Schizosaccharomyces pombe: one gene and its partners. Changing the gene in region 2 together with the main gene of any one other region gives a genetic interaction. Each region holds a gene or a part of one and is shown on either strand. Other genes may lie near its edges.

What was found.
Region 1: mutations in trm82 (region 2) and klp3 together harm fitness more than expected from each alone (negative genetic interaction), as found in Schizosaccharomyces pombe (one large-scale study listed by BioGRID).
Region 3: mutations in trm82 (region 2) and dus2 together harm fitness more than expected from each alone (negative genetic interaction), as found in Schizosaccharomyces pombe (one large-scale study listed by BioGRID).
Region 4: mutations in trm82 (region 2) and shr3 together harm fitness less than expected from each alone (positive genetic interaction), as found in Schizosaccharomyces pombe (one large-scale study listed by BioGRID).

The regions. Positions count from the first base shown.
Region 1 is NC_003424.3:4,704,786-4,709,782, forward strand, and holds klp3 (kinesin-like protein Klp3), read left to right. Parts: upstream 1-1,992; 5' UTR 1,993-2,129; coding exon 2,130-2,240; exon of another isoform or gene 2,241-2,293; coding exon 2,294-2,393; exon of another isoform or gene 2,394-2,601; coding exon 2,602-2,675; exon of another isoform or gene 2,676-2,720; coding exon 2,721-2,874; exon of another isoform or gene 2,875-2,947; coding exon 2,948-4,173; 3' UTR 4,174-4,467; downstream 4,468-4,997. Other genes in the region: mo25 family protein Pmo25, read right to left, coding at 5-439, 525-977, 1,033-1,134. UniProt on the Schizosaccharomyces pombe protein: Cytoplasmic motor that could play a role in Golgi membrane recycling.
Region 2 is NC_003421.2:1,976,520-1,980,877, reverse strand, and holds trm82 (tRNA (guanine-N7-)-methyltransferase subunit Trm82), read right to left. Parts: upstream 2,358-4,358; 5' UTR 1,984-2,357; coding exon 1,304-1,983; intron 1,231-1,303; coding exon 645-1,230; 3' UTR 513-644; downstream 1-512. Other genes in the region: rpp0 (60S ribosomal protein uL10), read left to right, coding at 97-249; rRNA processing protein Utp23, read left to right, coding at 2,577-2,664, 2,777-2,866, 3,051-3,655.
Region 3 is NC_003423.3:1,106,708-1,111,159, reverse strand, and holds dus2 (tRNA dihydrouridine synthase Dus2), read right to left. Parts: upstream 2,453-4,452; 5' UTR 2,433-2,452; coding exon 2,264-2,432; intron 2,026-2,263; coding exon 1,376-2,025; exon of another isoform or gene 1,335-1,375; coding exon 714-1,334; 3' UTR 562-713; downstream 1-561. Other genes in the region: erg27 (3-keto sterol reductase), read right to left, coding at 1-182, 230-270; ribosome-associated molecular chaperone Sks2, read right to left, coding at 2,863-4,452. UniProt on the Schizosaccharomyces pombe protein: Catalyzes the NADPH-dependent synthesis of dihydrouridine, a modified base found in the D-loop of most tRNAs. Specifically modifies U20 in cytoplasmic tRNAs. Also able to mediate dihydrouridylation of some mRNAs, thereby affecting their translation.
Region 4 is NC_003423.3:1,173,933-1,177,642, reverse strand, and holds shr3 (chaperone protein Shr3), read left to right. Parts: upstream 1-1,729; 5' UTR 1,730-1,777; coding exon 1,778-1,888; intron 1,889-2,277; coding exon 2,278-2,814; 3' UTR 2,815-3,163; downstream 3,164-3,710. Other genes in the region: translocation subcomplex subunit Sec66, read right to left, coding at 204-782; mtx1 (metaxin 1), read left to right, coding at 3,559-3,710. UniProt on the Schizosaccharomyces pombe protein: Involved in amino acid permease processing and required for the efficient translocation of structurally related amino acid permeases from the endoplasmic reticulum to the plasma membrane.

The DNA of each region.
Region 1 (4,997 bases), on a different chromosome or scaffold from region 2:
AGAGTCATAAGCGTTCAATCTGTTTTATTACAAATGCGCGTTCATCATTAAACTGCTCATCATTTTTCCGGTCAGTATGAAAAGCTGACAAGTAAGAAATCAACTTTGATTTGTTCCTCCTTAATATTTCGATTACTTCTTCCGACTTTTCAGGATTAGCAACAAACAATTTAAAAACATGAAAAGCTTCAAATTGAATGTTTTTACTCTTATCTCTCAGCAGAATCATCATTAGTTTCAGATTCTCAGCAGAACTAATATAGCGTGTCATGACTGAACGGTTAGCACGATTAAGAAGAATTTCCCCTAAAAGCTTTAAAGATTGACGTTTGGTAACATAATTTTCAGATTTCAAAAGGACAGTGTATTGCTTAAAAAACTCGTCAAAATGGTATGAAATAAACTCAGCAACTTGGGATTTATGATTAAGAAGAATAGACTGATTAAAGTTAGTAAATGCAAAACTAGCGGGAGTATATAAAAACATTGCAACGACAGAAGTTTTATTTGGGGATAATACGTACCTTAAAAGTCGAAAACGCATCACTCGCCATATCAAAACTAGAGGCTTGTATCAAACTAAAAAATGTCCAAAAATCTCGTGAGTTTAAAAGTACCTCATTAAGGGCTTCATGACGGGAACACTCACGAAGGATAGAACCAGCAGTAAAAGCTACTTCCTGGTATCGATAGTATGAGACCAATACTGGAAAGATTTGCGGGTGCGCAAGCATGTAGTCAACAGTGGGATATCTCGATGCTACATGCCTCCTAAGTAAAGCGCTAAATATTAGTCCTGTATCCTTTTTAGACTCAAACTCCAATTTCGGTAAATATCGAACGAGTAAAAAAGGTAAATTCGACTGGTAAATTTGAAAAGATAAGTCTGATACGAGATCAGCATCAGGCTCTACTTCAGCTGTCCCACACAATGAAACCCGTAAATTCTGTAAACATTTGGAAACTTCCTCAAAGGACTGTTTACGTTAGTCATCTAAACGAACAAAAACAACAATTACTAATAATTAATACCTTCTTTTTATCATTGTTTATTTCCAACTTTGGGAGATTATCACATAAGCAGCGAACAACATCTTGGGTTGATTTTGGTCGTTTATTGAACAGAAACGACATGCGGAATTATGGAATTCGGTTTCTCTAAAAACTTATGGCATATGACAGGGTAAGTAAAGTGGGTGCCAGGCGATGGTCCACAGTGGGGGTCTATTTTCATATTCAGTTGAATACTATTAAGGTACACTTCTTGAGTATTCAAATTACCTTTACTTATACCTGAAGTGATACCAATGTGGGGGTTGTTACATCTCGATTATACATAAGTAATCAAGTATTGAAACGCAGGTGCATTTAGATGATAGCAAGTGTACTAAGTAGATCTATTTATGAATTATGCATTTTCCATACCTTTTTCTCTTCGGTAAATGAATTGGTAGGTTGGTATAGCTAGTAGAAATACAAAGTAGTAAAACAAACGTTTTTTAATGCTAATGTTTGAAATAGTATCTGGGATAAACTTGTAAATTGCAAATACATCCAAATCTCCATATAAACTTCACAATTTAAAAAAATTATTTAATTTAAAAAAAAAAATAAATAAATACCTGCGAGGTTTCTCGTTCTTACCATTTAATCAAATTTTCATAAATAAATATGTGAGAAATTGCAATCCAATTTTCGTCACAGATATTAATCAGACGAAGGGTAAAATACTCTGCTTAAAATATGAATCAAGATTGAACAATCTTAAGAATTTTATACATGTGTAAATCTTCAAATAATATCAGGAAAAAAAGAATATGTAGAAGGAAGTAAACAATTTTAGCCTGTTGATTTGTAAATTTATTTTTTTTAATTCACACTTCGAGCTTTAACATTAAACAATTATGTAGTTAATTACATGATATTATTCTGTTTTTGATACGTTGCCTTAAACAACAATTATTGTAGAGGCACCATGTTAGGTTAACCTCGTCTTTCCCTGTATATGAAATTAGCCCGCTCACATATTGTCTTTAATGATTTTTTTGGATGTATGGATCTAATTTATATACTGCGTTTTAATCATACATTATTTGATTTTTTATCTTTTTATAAAGCAGTTTTACTCAATGACTTCAATTAAAGTAGTGTGCCGAATTCGGCCCACGAACCAGTTGGAACAAGACCTTGGAGGAAATAATGTGATATACCCATTAAACGATTCTACTGTTCATATCGAGGTAGGTTTCAACAATTGATCTTTACTTTAGAATTCGGCTGACATGATTAAAAGACTAGTGATTACTCAGGAAACTTTGTATTCGATCGTGTTTTTCATCCTTCTAGCACTCAGAATGATATATTTTCGTATTCAATTGAATCGACAGTCGATGGTATGTGAATGATAGTAAAACTTTACACGGCGTTGAACGGATTAATTTCATCGTTGTCAGCAACAGCTTGTATGAAATTATAGCATAGCCTTTTTTTATATGCGCTCGTTTTGACGCTTCATTTGAAACGAATTGCCATTTTAATACATTGTTCGAATCACATTCAAGTTGTTCTGAATTTCATTAAATATGTACTAATATATTATAGACTTATTCTTGGGTTATAACGGAACAGTACTAGCCTATGGACAGACAGGATCCGGCAAAACATACACCATGATGGTATATTCACAATTTCACCTGGCACACTTTTCTAACAATCTTTAGGGTATTGAAAATAATTTCGAAAAAGAAGGAATGACTCCAAGAATGCTCAGGCGTATTTTTGACAAAATCCGCGATTCACCATCTACTACTGAATACGAAGTGAAGGTATCATACATGGAAATCTACATGGAAAAAATTCATGATCTACTTTCCGGTAAGCCTTCAAATGCCGTAGAAATTTTGCGACGTTCGTATTTAATTTCAGCAAAATTAACCATGATTTACAGAAAAAAATGACAGACTGACGGTTCATGAAGATAAACTTCAGGGAGTTTATGTTCAAGGTTTAAAAACGATTTACGTATCAAGTGAAACGGAGGCATTGGATATTTTAAATAAAGGTATGGGGTCACGTGCCGTTGCAAGTACGTCGATGAATGCGCAAAGTTCACGGTCTCATTCTATTTTTGTACTCGAAGTTGTCCAAACGGACACTGAGTCCGGCGAAACTCGACGAGGCCGGTTGTTTTTAGTTGACTTGGCAGGTTCCGAAAGCGTAGGAAAAAGTGGAGCAGTCGGGCAAACCTTAGAAGAAGCAAAGAAAATAAACCGTTCTCTTTCAACTCTTGGAATGGTTATTAATTCTCTCACAGACAGCAAATTATCACATGTTCCTTATAGAGATTCCAAGTTAACGCGTATTTTAAAAGAGTCTCTTGGTGGAAATTCTCGGACCACTCTAATTATTAACTGTTCACCAGATTCATACAATGCAACAGAGACCTTATCTACTCTTAGGTTTGGACATCGTGCAAAGAGCATCAAAAACAAAGCGGTAGTAAACTCAGAACTTTCTGTTGATGAAATGAAAAGACAGCTGTATATTTATAAAGATGCTTTGTCTCGTTGCGTTTGTGGAGCCAGAATTAACAATAACTTAGACTATAATAATTGTCATTCTAACGTATGGTCAGGCGAGCATTCCCTCACACTGTCAAATCTCGCCGAAAAATCCAACTTAAAGGAAGCAGAAATCATTCAAGGAAATAGAACAATTCAGGAAAGTAATAATGACAGAGACGAAAGCACAGTTGCTTCGATACACAGACATAACTTTGATTCTGATTCTATCAATCGTTTGTATGCTGAAGCACAACTTGAACTTAAACAACGAGATGGTGTTTTATCATCCACTAAACAGCAATTGTCAGACCTTATGACTGCATTGGGCGATGCTCAGGAGCGGTATGTTGAGCTTGTTAAAAACCACAGAGTAAATTCAAATCTTACTGCAAACAACTCATTAAATGACAAACCGGGTTTTACAATAGAACAGAAAGATAAAAATTTTTCGATAAATAACGAGAGAAACAATTTTTTACAAAAACTGAGTACTTTGGATTCCTCACTGGCTGCTCTAGTAAATGTTCAACGAAAATTGATTAAAGCTTTAATTTCCAAAGAGCGACCTCAAAATGGAACAGTAATTAAGAAAATTCAAGGGGGCACTTAAAAGCTACACTTTTTTACTCTGCTTTGCGAAGGATTATATATGTTTAATTAATTTCTTTAGAGTTGTTGAGCTCACATTTAATCATGAAATATTGCATCTCGTCTAGCTGCTTTCTGAATAAACTAATTTTCTGACTAATTATTTATGCAGCTTCTTTTATATTGCTGCAGCATTATAATATAAAAGAAAACAGCTACGCAGCAATGCATTGTTTATATGCTTATTCAGCAAATGTGTAACATCTCAAATGATGATGTAATAACAATTCAATAAAAATTTACCGTTATAATATAATCAGCGAATTTAGTAATCTGAGACTACTATTCTTTAGCAAGGATTGACTATTGGCTAAGCAATCATTACCTTTTTTAAGCTACAACGAACTGTAGTTTAAGTGTTACTTGCGATGTATATAATCTTATGTAGGATGTTTATCGTAGATGGTAAAATGTTGTATCAATATAATTATGATATTGAATACACTAACATAACCACACATATATGGCTTATAACTGAAGTCAGGAAAGAAGGTTTGAATGTATCAACATAATGCATTGTTATAAAACTACTAGTATAGAAGATTTACACTAAGGATGGAAATACGGAGAATCATGAATATTATGAAAAGTTGAACTAACGCAGCACAGTATAGTGTAGTGACTTGTTTCTAACAGAACGATCATATTTACTAGCCACCAATCTTCGCTAAACAACATTTACGCGATCTTCAATATCCATTTACATTTTGCTAACACAACTTGTTGAGTTGTTTCATTTCCCTATTTCGAACACTTTTTACCAATCTTCAGTGCTGTAAAGTCGCT
Region 2 (4,358 bases):
TTTAAACACTCTAATTTTTTGCTGAACGCTTGTATACAATTAAACTCTTTGAATCATTAAATTATTTTTGTACTCAGTTCACTAACTTTATTTTAGACTAAGGCTTTCCTTGCTGATCCCTCTGCTTTCGTAGTCGCCGCTGCTCCTGCTGCTGCTGCTGGTGGTGAAGCTGAGGCACCCGCTGCCGAGGCTGCTGCTGAAGAGGAAGAGGAATCCGATGAGGACATGGGTTTCGGTCTCTTCGACTAAGCTTTTTTTGTTAGATAGCACTAATGGATGTATCTCGTGTTCTTTAGGCCTTCTAAAAACAATTTGCCGTTGCAAGTATTATGTAAAGTATTGTCGTAGCATGTAAATGGAAGGAATTGAATAAACGATTAATTTTACTTCTTCAAATTGCTGACGTTGCACAACTGAATAGCAGTTGCACTTATGCAGTAGATACAAGTTGCGTTTATTCGCATAATTATTAATCGCTGACTGTATTTATACTTCAAAATTCTGGGTTTCTCCAAAGAAATTAAATGCTCTCCCTATTATACTTTAATGTCACAATCATTTTTATTCATATCTATTTTCCATATTTACTGATGCTCCCACTTTTCCCAATTATTTTTTTTGAGCCGGTCTCCCTAAAATGAGCTTTAATTATCTTTAGATTCAACGGATGGCGAAGATGTACCGGTTTCAACACTGCGAATGAATTTAGAGTGGTTCTTGCGTAATGTGTGAATTTGAGCGAGCGGGCAGAACGGCTTTTCGGTTGATATTAAACCATCAGATTCTATACGCTTTATTACATCGGGTTTCGTAAGAACAGCCGCATTCCCTTCATCAAATTTCACGCATTCAAAACATGCACCAAATGTAAAACTAGAGTCCAAAGAAATGAGAATTTGATCAGTATCCGTGTCAAGCAAAACAGCGTCAAGAACAGGCCCTGACAGCTTCAAAGCAGAATGAAACAACAGTCTCTTTTCAGGTGTCACCTTCGCGAAGATAAGACCCGCCATTCCTTCACACGCAAAAGCAACAAGCTGGCGCTTAAAAATAGGAAGAATAACTGAAACCACCATTGGTTGATTTAATGAGAGATAAGTGGAAAAGGCAGATCGTAGATCGAATGCATCCAAACATTTGAAATTCTCTAAATCCCATACGAAAACGTGATTATCTCCACCGCCAGATATTAGAGTACGATTGTCATATAAGGACATCCTAGATACAAAACTAGGAAAAGGCGTTAGTGTTATTTAAAAAAAAAAAAAAAAAATTGATCAACTAAAACCAAATGAAAACTTACTCTTCATGACCTAAGCAAAACCCTTCAATGACAAATGCATTGGGAAATCGGGAAATACGAATATGCTCGTCTTTATCTGAAGTAATGATTATTTCTTCTTTAGAATTTTGTGGATTTTGAGCAACTATTAATTGAGTTAAGATCGAAACATGCCCCATAATGGGTTCGAGTTTTTGCAATTTCGAATCCTTTAAAGTGTCATTATTAACAGGTTCTTGTTTTCCTTCAACCACATTTGACTTTTTTTCTTCGGTAACTTCAGAAGTAGTAAACCAATTTTCGTCTACACAATAGACATCACCAAACTTATCACCAAAAACAATTTCGTTTGAGCCCGCAAAGCACAAGTCAGCACATCGCTTTGGTATGTTTTTTTGATAAAGAAGTTCAATTTTATCAGGCTGAGTGCTATCCCAAAGGCGCAAACATTTGTCTTCACTAACTGTTGCCATACGAGAATAGTCTTTAGAAAATGCGACTTGACGAATCGCTTCTCCATAGGCAGCTGCCTCTCTATGTTTTTCATTTATATTGTCTCTATAACAATGTTCAAAAATTTTTTCCCCTGTAGAGCATGAGAACCCCAATAGATATGGACCTGAACAGCACACGATGTAATTGTGTTTAGAATTCCATGTTAAAAATTGACAAGGGTGCTTAAAAACTCGCTGTTCACTCATGTTTTTATTGATTGATTCTTAAGAAAATAGAAGCAACAAAACAAACACTTCAGAAATAAACCTCTAATTTTTGGATCCGAATATATTTACAATTTTATAAAAAGAAGAAAAAGAAGCTTTAGAAGAAAGAAAGTAATAATGACAAATCTTTCAAATAATAAAAAGCAAAGCTTTAAAATTATTTACGCAGTAGAAATGAAGAAAAAGTATGATAAGGGTAAATAATAGACTGAATCCTCTTTCTGCTTAATACCGTTTCCTTACAAATTTATCTAAATAGAGAAATAAAAGAAGTATACACTCAGTTCGAAGCCAAGTATCTCACTTAAGTTAAATAGTTAAAGCGCCCAAAATTTTAGTACGTGGGTGAACTTGGAAAGTACAAACTAGTTGGAAATTTCCTAATAAGAGGATTTCAGCAATATTAGGGTTCCTGGATACTTCTTTTAATACGATTGAATTTATTTTTTTAATATTTCTAATAGTAACAAAAGACTTTTCGTTTTTGAGCGAAAAAAAAAATTCTTAAAAAAACAAGTGATCTAAAGCATATTAAGTCTTAGGCTGTGTGACGCACAGAAAAGGGCGTAAATATGAGGCAAAAAAGGGCAAAGAATTACAGAAAGCTGATGCATACGTATCAGCTTTTATTTGGATTTCGTGAACCATATCAAGTACTCGGTATGTGGTACAGAAAATGATGCTTGTAAAGATGCATCCTTACCCAAGTTCTAATTTGCAAACAATAAGCATTTTCTTTTTGGTGATGTTATTAAACTAACATGATTTTTAGTGGATGCAGATTTCCTAAAAGATTTATCTCAACAAAAGATTGATATACAAGCTGCATTAGCTAGGACTGTTCAAGGAGCTATAAAACCTAGTAAGTTTTGTTTATAAGTGTTTTCTTTTACTGGAAAAAAGGGCGAACCCCCGGAATATGAAACAGAACGGAAAGTTTAATTATTCAACATAGTATCTTTTCATCCGGGTCTGGTTTATTATTTTCTTTCCTTATGTTCTCCTTGTAAATTATTATAACTAACGGATTTACTAACTGACTATAGTGATTACTCAATGTTGTATTCGGCAATTGTACAGTAAATCCGATGAATTGAAGCAAGAAATTCGTATCGCAAAGTCTTTTGAGCGAAGGAGGTGTGGTCATATTGATGAAGCACTCTCTCCTTCAGAATGTATTCAGAGTGTAGTCAACATTAATGGTCGGAACAAGCACCGCTATGTTGTTGCTACCCAAGACCCCGAGCTTAGGCAAGCTCTTCGTTCGGTCCCAGGTGTTCCACTTATATATATGAAAAGGTCAGTTGTGATACTAGAACCAGCTTCACGAGCTACGTTATTAGAAAAGCACAACAAAGAATCCGTTCAGATGGGCATGTCAAAAGAGGAAAAGTTGTTATTATCCGGAAAAAAGCGTTCAGCGAATGAACTGGCTATCGATGATCAAGATACCAAGGAAAGTACGGATTTAGCGGGAACAGAGGATTCTGCTCCAAAAGCCAATAAAAAACGCAAGGGTCCTAAAGGGCCTAACCCTTTAAGCATCAAAAAGAGATCATCAAAAAACCATACAACGGATGAACCTACTTTACCTGTAAACATAATAGGTGATGTTGGTGAAAGAAAAAAACATCGTCGGAAAAGAAAGTAGACTGCTTATTGTTGGAAATTAGCATATGTATATATTTAAAAATAAAATTTTTCGGGATAGGTTTGCCTACAAGTGTTGTCTACTAATATAACGCTATCATACATACAATGTTTCTGATTCAACCCTTCCTGTGTAAACAATACTTTCAACTAACGCTTGTGGCTAAAGAAACGAAGAAAAAAAATTGGGTATAGGCACAATGTAAATATTTACGATGTAATCATCACAAATGTAAAGTTGTAAACCATTTTTCATCTAGATTCAAAGTCGTTTAAAGCGAAAGAGAAAAGGAAGCAATTATCCAAGCGACCTAAAAAAGCAGTTTCAACCAAATTTAGCTTAAAGAGAAAATTGAAATTTTTATTCGACTAAATAAAAGGTTAGATTATCTTAAAAAGATTTCAATCGTTGATATATTAGGGGAGAAACTGTAAGCCCAGTTGTGAATGCTAACGTATTTCAGTAAAAAAAATATCGCAGTTTACTGGCCTAAATACATACTTTGCTAACAGTTTTCTATTAACCCAACAGGACCTTAAATCTCTGCATTCTTTGTATTGAAAAGATCATACTGTTCGTGGATTTGCGCGTTTATGTAACGTTAAACTCGAATAATTTGCATTTGGCGGTCATTTTCGTTCTTGCGATTGATACAGATTCTGAGCTTTAACTAGCGCTTATTTGTATTACAACACCAAAGGAG
Region 3 (4,452 bases), on a different chromosome or scaffold from region 2:
CTAACAAAACGTATTCCAACCGTATTTTCCTATCGGGAAAGAATTCTTTCAATCTTCTACAGGCATCTTCTGCCTTTTCACGACTCCTGCATGTAAGAATTACCGTGAATACTTCGGGTTCATCTTGCAAACGCGGTTGGTAGAACTGCAAAAGACGCGTAGCTATTCCAAAACCAAGACCACTGTAATCATTAACTGTGTTGCTCTAGATATCTTAATAATATTTTACCTGTTGGAGCCGGTAATTAAGGCATATTTACGAAAACTCATTGTTAGGGCTTTACAATGGTAGTAGTAAAAATCGTTTGATATCTACCCTGGTCAGCTATGTAGTATACGTTCGAAATTACACGTCGAAGTATTTAGCTACTTTATCTTCTTTCAAAAAATTTATTAATAAATTGGTAGAAAAAATATCATTCAAAATTCAATTAACCATAAGTATTTCTGTACTAGCTTGTATTTGATCGTCATTCAATTTAATATAACAAAGCTCTCAAAACACTCTGTTTCCTAAATAATAGCAATTAAATTTTTGGATTCAACTCAATAATAATTCTAATAAAAAATGCTTTTTTCATTTATGGGAGACGATAGAATCCATGCTTCAACTTTACCAAAGCAGCGAAAAGATATAAGAATAATTTTCATTAACCAAACATGCTCAGTAAGTACTTCAAAACTATACAAAAACTTTTTAACTACACGAAAAACTAAACGACTTGAGCTTTCTCTTCTAAATCCTTTATCCTTTCTTGAATTATATCCAATGCATGTTTGCTTTGCATTGACTTATTTTCACATTCCACTACAGCTTCATTCGTATTGGAATTGATCGGCAAACGAATAGTTATTTTTTGATCGCATACAGCCTCATTCATAATAGATTCGTCTTTTTCCATGCATATGACCAGATGAGCACTAGCGATTGCAGAAGCTAGGTTATCAGCTGAAATTAAAGAAAGTGCAATTCCGTGGCACAAAAACTTCTCATGAATATCGTCTAGCTGCTTGCAAATATCTTCCTCTTCACTTACTGCAAAGATTTTTGTGAAATGAAGCCTACTTAGTTGCTTTAAAATATTGGACGCTAATAAAGACTCCAAAAAACTGGGCAAATCTACAAAAGATATAACCAATGATTTTTCTTTTTCTAAAGTAGGGCAGACCGATGAAGCATCCGAATGCTTGTATTCGATCTCAAATGCCTTCTTCAAGTCTTCATAAGTTTTAGCAGTCTGAGCGAGTTGTCGAACATTTTTCCGAAATGAACCCTGCATGATTTGATTTAAACAATATTTAGTATTCCCAAAATTATTATCAACCTCAAGAGCCTATCAACAATTAGTAATGAATAAACAAGCAAAGTACAAACCATTTTCAAAAACTCCTCGGCAACCTTAAAACTAGAAAGTGGGCCCTCTATTCGAAAACAGGATACGTTCCTTTCAGCAGCTCTGGCGATAAGCACACCGTCGACTCCATATTTCTCAATAACATCCAATCCATCATTATAGCTTAAGACATCCCCATTTACTAAGATCGAAACATCTTTATTTCGACAGACGCCTACAATTTCCGATAAATAACTACGATCTGCAGGCTCAGTATTTCGCATTGGAGTTGTACGGCAATGAACAGTGATTGCTCGAACTCCTGTATCGCATATGCGCTCTACCAATTTTAGGGTATCTTCTTTTGTCTCTAATAAACGAATTTTACAACTTATGGAAATTTTGTAAGGCTTCCCGATCTCATTCACTAGAGCATCGAGAATACTGACTAGACGATCTTGATTTTTCAAAAGGCCAGCTCCCATTCCAGCATGTACAGAAAAATGTTTGGGGCAACCACAGTTTAAGTCAATGCCTGCAACATCATTAGCTACAAGTTTTGCTGCTTCCACTGCAAGTTCTGGGGATGCACTTCCGAGTTGAAAAATCAATCGATTAGCTTCAAGCGGATGCACACGAAACAACACCTTATTGCTAGGTGGTTTAACAAAATCGATGCAATTGATCCTATCTATTTTAAATTGAGTCAATAATAACTGAATAAAATAACACAATTAGGAAGAAGAAATTTGTTTTTCAATTAAATAAATGTCAAAAAATGTAATTACACGAGTTAATAAAAAAAATAATTCATCAAATATAGTATTGAAAAACGAAAGTGCATGGGTGAACAATGTAATTACACGAGCAACCAATATCGATTTAATCCTCATCTTTCTTCTAAAATTGTAATTCATACTAACACATACCATTTACGACTCTTTCTACAGGTGTTCCACTCAGAAGAGCTTTATCCACAATTTCTGGCCCCCATACTAGATTAGCGCCATATCGAAGTGCTAATAACCTCATGGGAAGTTCCCCAATCCTAACCATGGGAGCTAGACATACTTTATTGCTATAATTTAGCAGACCCATGACAAGAAGGGAGGTTAATCGAAAGGAAAACTCTGTGAGCTTAGAAAATTGCAAGCAACTTAAGCGTGGCCAACAGGGTAATTGTCACCACCAAATTTTCTGCTCAAACAGAAAACCTTCCGTACATATAGAAAACACTCAAAAGTCATCTTTGCGAAGCTAAGGGCTACTATTTTAAAAGCGATTCTCAATCAAATTCTACTTACTTCTACAGCGTGTTATTCGGACACAATTAACGATTCTCTTATTTAAGTATCAAACCTATCCCAGCCTTGAGGCACTCAAATTATGCTGCCTTTCAAATTACAAATAAACGTACATATCCGAGTAATAATTACATTTTGGTAGTCCTAGATAATGTATCTATATGATATCAATAATTGCATATGAACAAATCCTTCGAAAGCTTAATTCATGTTGTTTAGCTTATCTAACGAAGGGATGCAAAGGCCTTTTGAACGGTACGCTTAAGACGAAGCTCAGCCTTACGGAGAGCATCAGTGTTAGTGTCCTCAAGTTCTAATTGAGACATGCACTCAGCCAATTGGGCTTCAATCTTAGACTTGTCACCACGCTTCAATTTCATCATGACATTGGGCTCAGAGATGGTAGTCTCAATGTTAGAAATGTAAGATTCGAGTTGGCTCTTAGCCTCTAATTTCTTGGCGAAATCCTTGTCTTGTTGCTTGAACTTGTCAGCGTTTTCAATCATCTCTTGAATCTTAGTGGAAGAAAGATGACCAACAGAGTTGGTGATTTCAATGTGAGCAGAGCGACCAGTGGTCTTTTCAACAGCGGTAACCTTCAAGATACCATTGGCATCCAACTCGAAAGTAGCTTCCAACTCAGCTTGACCACGGGGCATAGGAGGGATACCAGTAAGTTGGAACTCACCAAGAGGTTCGTTTTCAGCACAGTTGACACGTTCACCTTGGTAAACAGGGAAAGTAACGGTGGTTTGGTTGTCAGCAACAGTGGTGAAAGTACGCTTCTTGATGGTAGGAATGGGAGTATTGCGAGGGCAAACAACACCGAAAACATTACCTTCCATGGCAACACCCAAGGAAAGGGGGACAACATCCAACAAAAGCAAATCTTGAGTTTTGTCAGAGTCAGCCTTGTTGGTGAGGACAGCGGCTTGAACAGCAGCACCGTAGGCGACAGCCTCATCGGGGTTGATAGACTTGTTCAAAGCACGGCCATCAAAGAAATCAGAAACGAGTCTTTGAACCTTGGGAATACGGGTGGAACCACCGACAAGGACAATGTCGTGAACATCAGCCTTAGGGACCTTGGAGTCCTTCAAGACCTTAGCGACTGGATCAATGGTAGCCTTGAATGTGGTAGCGTTGATGTCCTCGAAACGAGCACGGGTAATGCTAGAAGAGAAGTCGATACCGTTGGAAAGAGAGTCGACCTCAACGGTGGTTTGAGTAACAGAAGACAAGGCACGCTTAGCACGCTCACAAGCAGAGCGAAGACGACGAAGAGCACGAGGATCGTCAGAGATGTCAATCTTTTGCTTGCGCTTGAATTCTTGAATAAAGTGCTCGACCAAAGCGTTATCAAAATCTTCACCACCCAAGTGAGTGTCACCAGCGGTAGCCAAAACTTCAAAGACACCACCTTGAATCTTCAAAAGAGAAACATCAAAAGTACCACCACCAAGATCGAAAATCAAGACGTTTTTGGGCTTGTCGGACTTGGCATCAAGACCGTAAGCAATAGCAGCAGCGGTGGGCTCGTTGATGATACGAAGAACGTTAAGGCCAGCGATGGCACCAGCATCCTTAGTAGCAGCACGTTGAGAGTCAGAGAAGTAGGCGGGGACGGTAATGACAGCCTTCTCGACACGCTTGTTCAACTTAGCTTCGGAAATCTCCTTCATCTTAGTCAAAACCATAGCGGAAATTTCTTGAGCAGTAAATTGCTTTTTCTCGCCCAAATAGTTAACCTCAATGGTAGGGATACCATTGTTGTCAATAACCTTAAAGGGCCAGTGCTTAATATCCTTTTGAGT
Region 4 (3,710 bases), on a different chromosome or scaffold from region 2:
GGTAAGGACAGTGATAAAGCAAGCCCCCTTTATGGAGTCTATTACTGAATTTGATTTATGAATGAGTTCTAAGGATTATTGTATAAAATAGGAATTTTAGTTTCAAAGAAAGAAAAAGATAAGAAAACGTAAAACATCAGATGCAAGAAAGAAACAGGAAAAAAAGAATAAAGGCACATACGAACATCTTTTTTTAAAACAATTTATAGCACTCCAAGTTCTTTTTGGGCTTGAATACGCAATTCCTCATCAGCGGCTTCATACAGAATTTTTTCGGTTTGCCAACGTTGCGAAATAGAATCAATGTCCTTGGGAATATTATCAATTATGCTGTGAATTTTTTCGTTTTCAATTATTTCATTGCAAGTTTGGAATATAAACTGATTCCATCCAGGCTGCAATGAATTGGCAGTTTTGGCAATATCCATCAACTCCAATTCAGTTTCCTTTTCCAAACGACCAAACTTACGAATTAGCTCGTCACCAACGCCGCCGCGGTTGAGCAAATTATTCAATGCCATTCTCGATACTTTAAGCTTCATCAATCGACGAAGACCTTCTGTAGCCCGTAAAACGAGAGCAGCTTTCAAAAGTGTATCCTCGGCAGGTGGATTCTGCTGCAAAAGACTGAAAAATATATTTCTAGAATAATTTTCTCCAAACCATTCTTCTGATACTGGTTTTGATTCCTGATTTTTGGATTTTCGCACAAAACGAGAAACTCCATACATAGAGCCCATTAAAATGGTAATATATATCAAGGGAACGTAAATCGACACCATATTGAATTAATTAACACGGCCAAGTATGTAAAGCAAGCAGGGACCTTTTTCTTTAACAACTCGTATACCCTTTTTGTATTATTTGTTTTTTGCAGAGTGGACTGCAAATATGTATATGAGATATAACTTCGAGACCAAATGAATGCAAGACCAGTTTAGGTGTGAAAGGAGAATAGTGTGTTTTCTGGAATGCTTTATATTTTATAAGGTTGATGTAATTTTCTGTTATTTGTAGATAAGAGATATTTATGTTTTCTTAAAGACGCTAAAATATTTTACGCGATGCGCTATTAGATAAACAAATCGATCGGATATTGTTCAATTGTTTGTTTAAACTCAGGTAAAAGTTTTTAGAATTAGAAATGAAAAAAATTTACTAATAGGGAACTAGGATAATAAACAATTGAGCATTTTAGAAACAGATTTTGCGACCATTGTGAAAACTGACGAAACATATAGTTAGGAAGACAAAAACACCTCATTTATGAAATTATTTCTTTTTTTCAAGTATACAAAGGATCTTTGTATGTTCTTCTATATTGTTTCTGTAGTTTTATTAGTATTTTTACATATCGAGGCATTGGCATTCATTTGTTTTATTTACAGCCAATTAATAAATTCCCTTATTTTGATATAAGCTTTACAGTCTCGCTTAACTTGAAAACGCTATGATGTTGTGTATTCAGTTACAATAAATAGTGACATACAATAGTCGCTCAAATATATCTGGTTATATTTTATATTAAATAATTTTGCCAACTGATTTATCTTGGGTTGATTTTTCTTATTCGTGAGATTTAGATAGCCGTTCATGATGTTTTTCTGCATACAATGCATATTAGTGGAAAATGCGTTCGATTTCCTTATACTCATACAATCCTTTAGACCGTCGAAAGCGGAGTGGTATCACTTTGGTATAAAAAGGTAGTCTTAATTAACCTACCACTAACGTATATTTTCATTAACAAAAAAAAAGTTTATTATCATTATTCAAGATGGCTAAAAGATCCATATTTCGTTTTGCTGATGAAAAGGGCTTGAAGGTCGCTGCCCGTTATGGAGTCCTTATGTCAACTAGTTTTATTTTTGCTTTACTTTTCCACAGCGTATGTTCCAATCAAATTTCTATTTTATTCTAAGATTATTCATTTGAAAATCAACTTTCATTTGATATCAATTTCGTTTAGCTTTTGGAGACAAAGGGAGCAGAATATGAGAAATTATAAGTCGGTACTTTGAGTGAATTCTGAATTTGTTTTACAAAACATGCATTGTTAAAATAAATCTGGAAAATTATTTTATCAGGAACGTTTCTAAAAAGGAGCTTTTTGTCTGTTTAAGTTTTCATAATCGGATACGAGCATTCATCTTACCGCTCAATGTTTGCCGCGCTGCTCATTTTTCTGTTGTTCTTATGTTTTTGGAGCTTCACTTCGAATTGATTACTTTGTTCATAGTCTTTATTTTCTTAGCATAAATTACTAATGTCATTTAGAGCGTTGCCGATGTGAATACCTTATGGAGTCCTGGCCCTGAGTCTGCTTTCGATGCTGCTGAAACTTACTATACTTTGGTGGCTGGATCCCATTTCATTGTAAAATATACTGTATATACCATCATGGGACTTAATATGATTTTCCATCTTATTCAAGCCACTGGCGCTAAAGGTGATGACAAATTGTTCTTTTACTCTAGCACGCTTCTTTATCTTACTGCACTAATTTTGTTTATTGTTAATGTTGCTCCTTCTATGTTGGTTGTTAAGCTACAGAATTATGTTCAATTCCCACGAAATATGCACTTGTCCGTTCTTGCTGCTTCTCATGTTCTTGTTGAATTTCTTCTTGCTGGTGTCATTCTTATTCAACTTGGATACGTTTTCGGATATCATGTTCAAAGTATCCAGCAGCGCGAATACGCTGAAGATATGAGGGAGCAAGAATTAGCTGAAAAGGCTAAATTGGAATCCGAGTCTGCTACTACTCAGAGTGTAGAAACTGTTTCCACCGAATCTGTTTCAAAGCGCAAGTAAACAAACCACTTGGGTCTAATTTTACAACTTTTGGAATAGAGTGAACTATTTTATATCTTGCTAATTATTGTTGCTAGTCCGTCATCAACTCTTTGACGCAAAGTTTATGTCTAACTAGAAAGCAAAGAGTGACTTGCATTGACGGTAACTGGGAAAGCTTACATGTGTATTCATACGTACAATTATATATATACAAGATTTATACTGTCTTATATAAGAAATAAATTGACTTGAATTTTCGATAGAGGAATAGTTCGTTATGTTTGGATTTAGAATAGTCTTTAGCACACTTATACTTCTTAATAATTAAATATGTACTCATTGTGCAAAAAGGATTATCACAAGTGAAGCTTTTGTGAGATTGTATATTCTTCTATACTATGGATGCATAAACAAAGTCTCATTTTAGATGGGTTTTACGCTGCAGATACAGCAGAAGCGCCATACAAATATACTAAGTAAAATCTCAAAGTTCAAATGCTCAATCGATTTATTGTGCTAATTATCGATGTTTAATTCACTTTTTAACAACTAATAAATAGGTAACAATGTTACTTGTTCGTATAGCTTACTTGACTGCATAGCATCAGAATGATAATTGTAACTAGCTTCAGCGAATTTGGTAAGTTGGACTAGTTGGTTAGTTATTACCTTTTTTTTCTTTCTTCTGTGTTTCTCTAATCTCAACCCTACTGTAGACGGTAACTTTTTCAATTCATTCGTTCGGGTCATTTTTTGATCAAAATGTTGCAACTTTTCATTTATAGCCCAGGACTTGGGCAACCAACGATGGATCCTGGATGCTTAGCGGCATTAATTTATTGCGCACTTGCCGTCCCAAAGGACGAAATTGAAATTCTTCGCACTGCAAATTCAGGTATGAGCCCTACCCATAA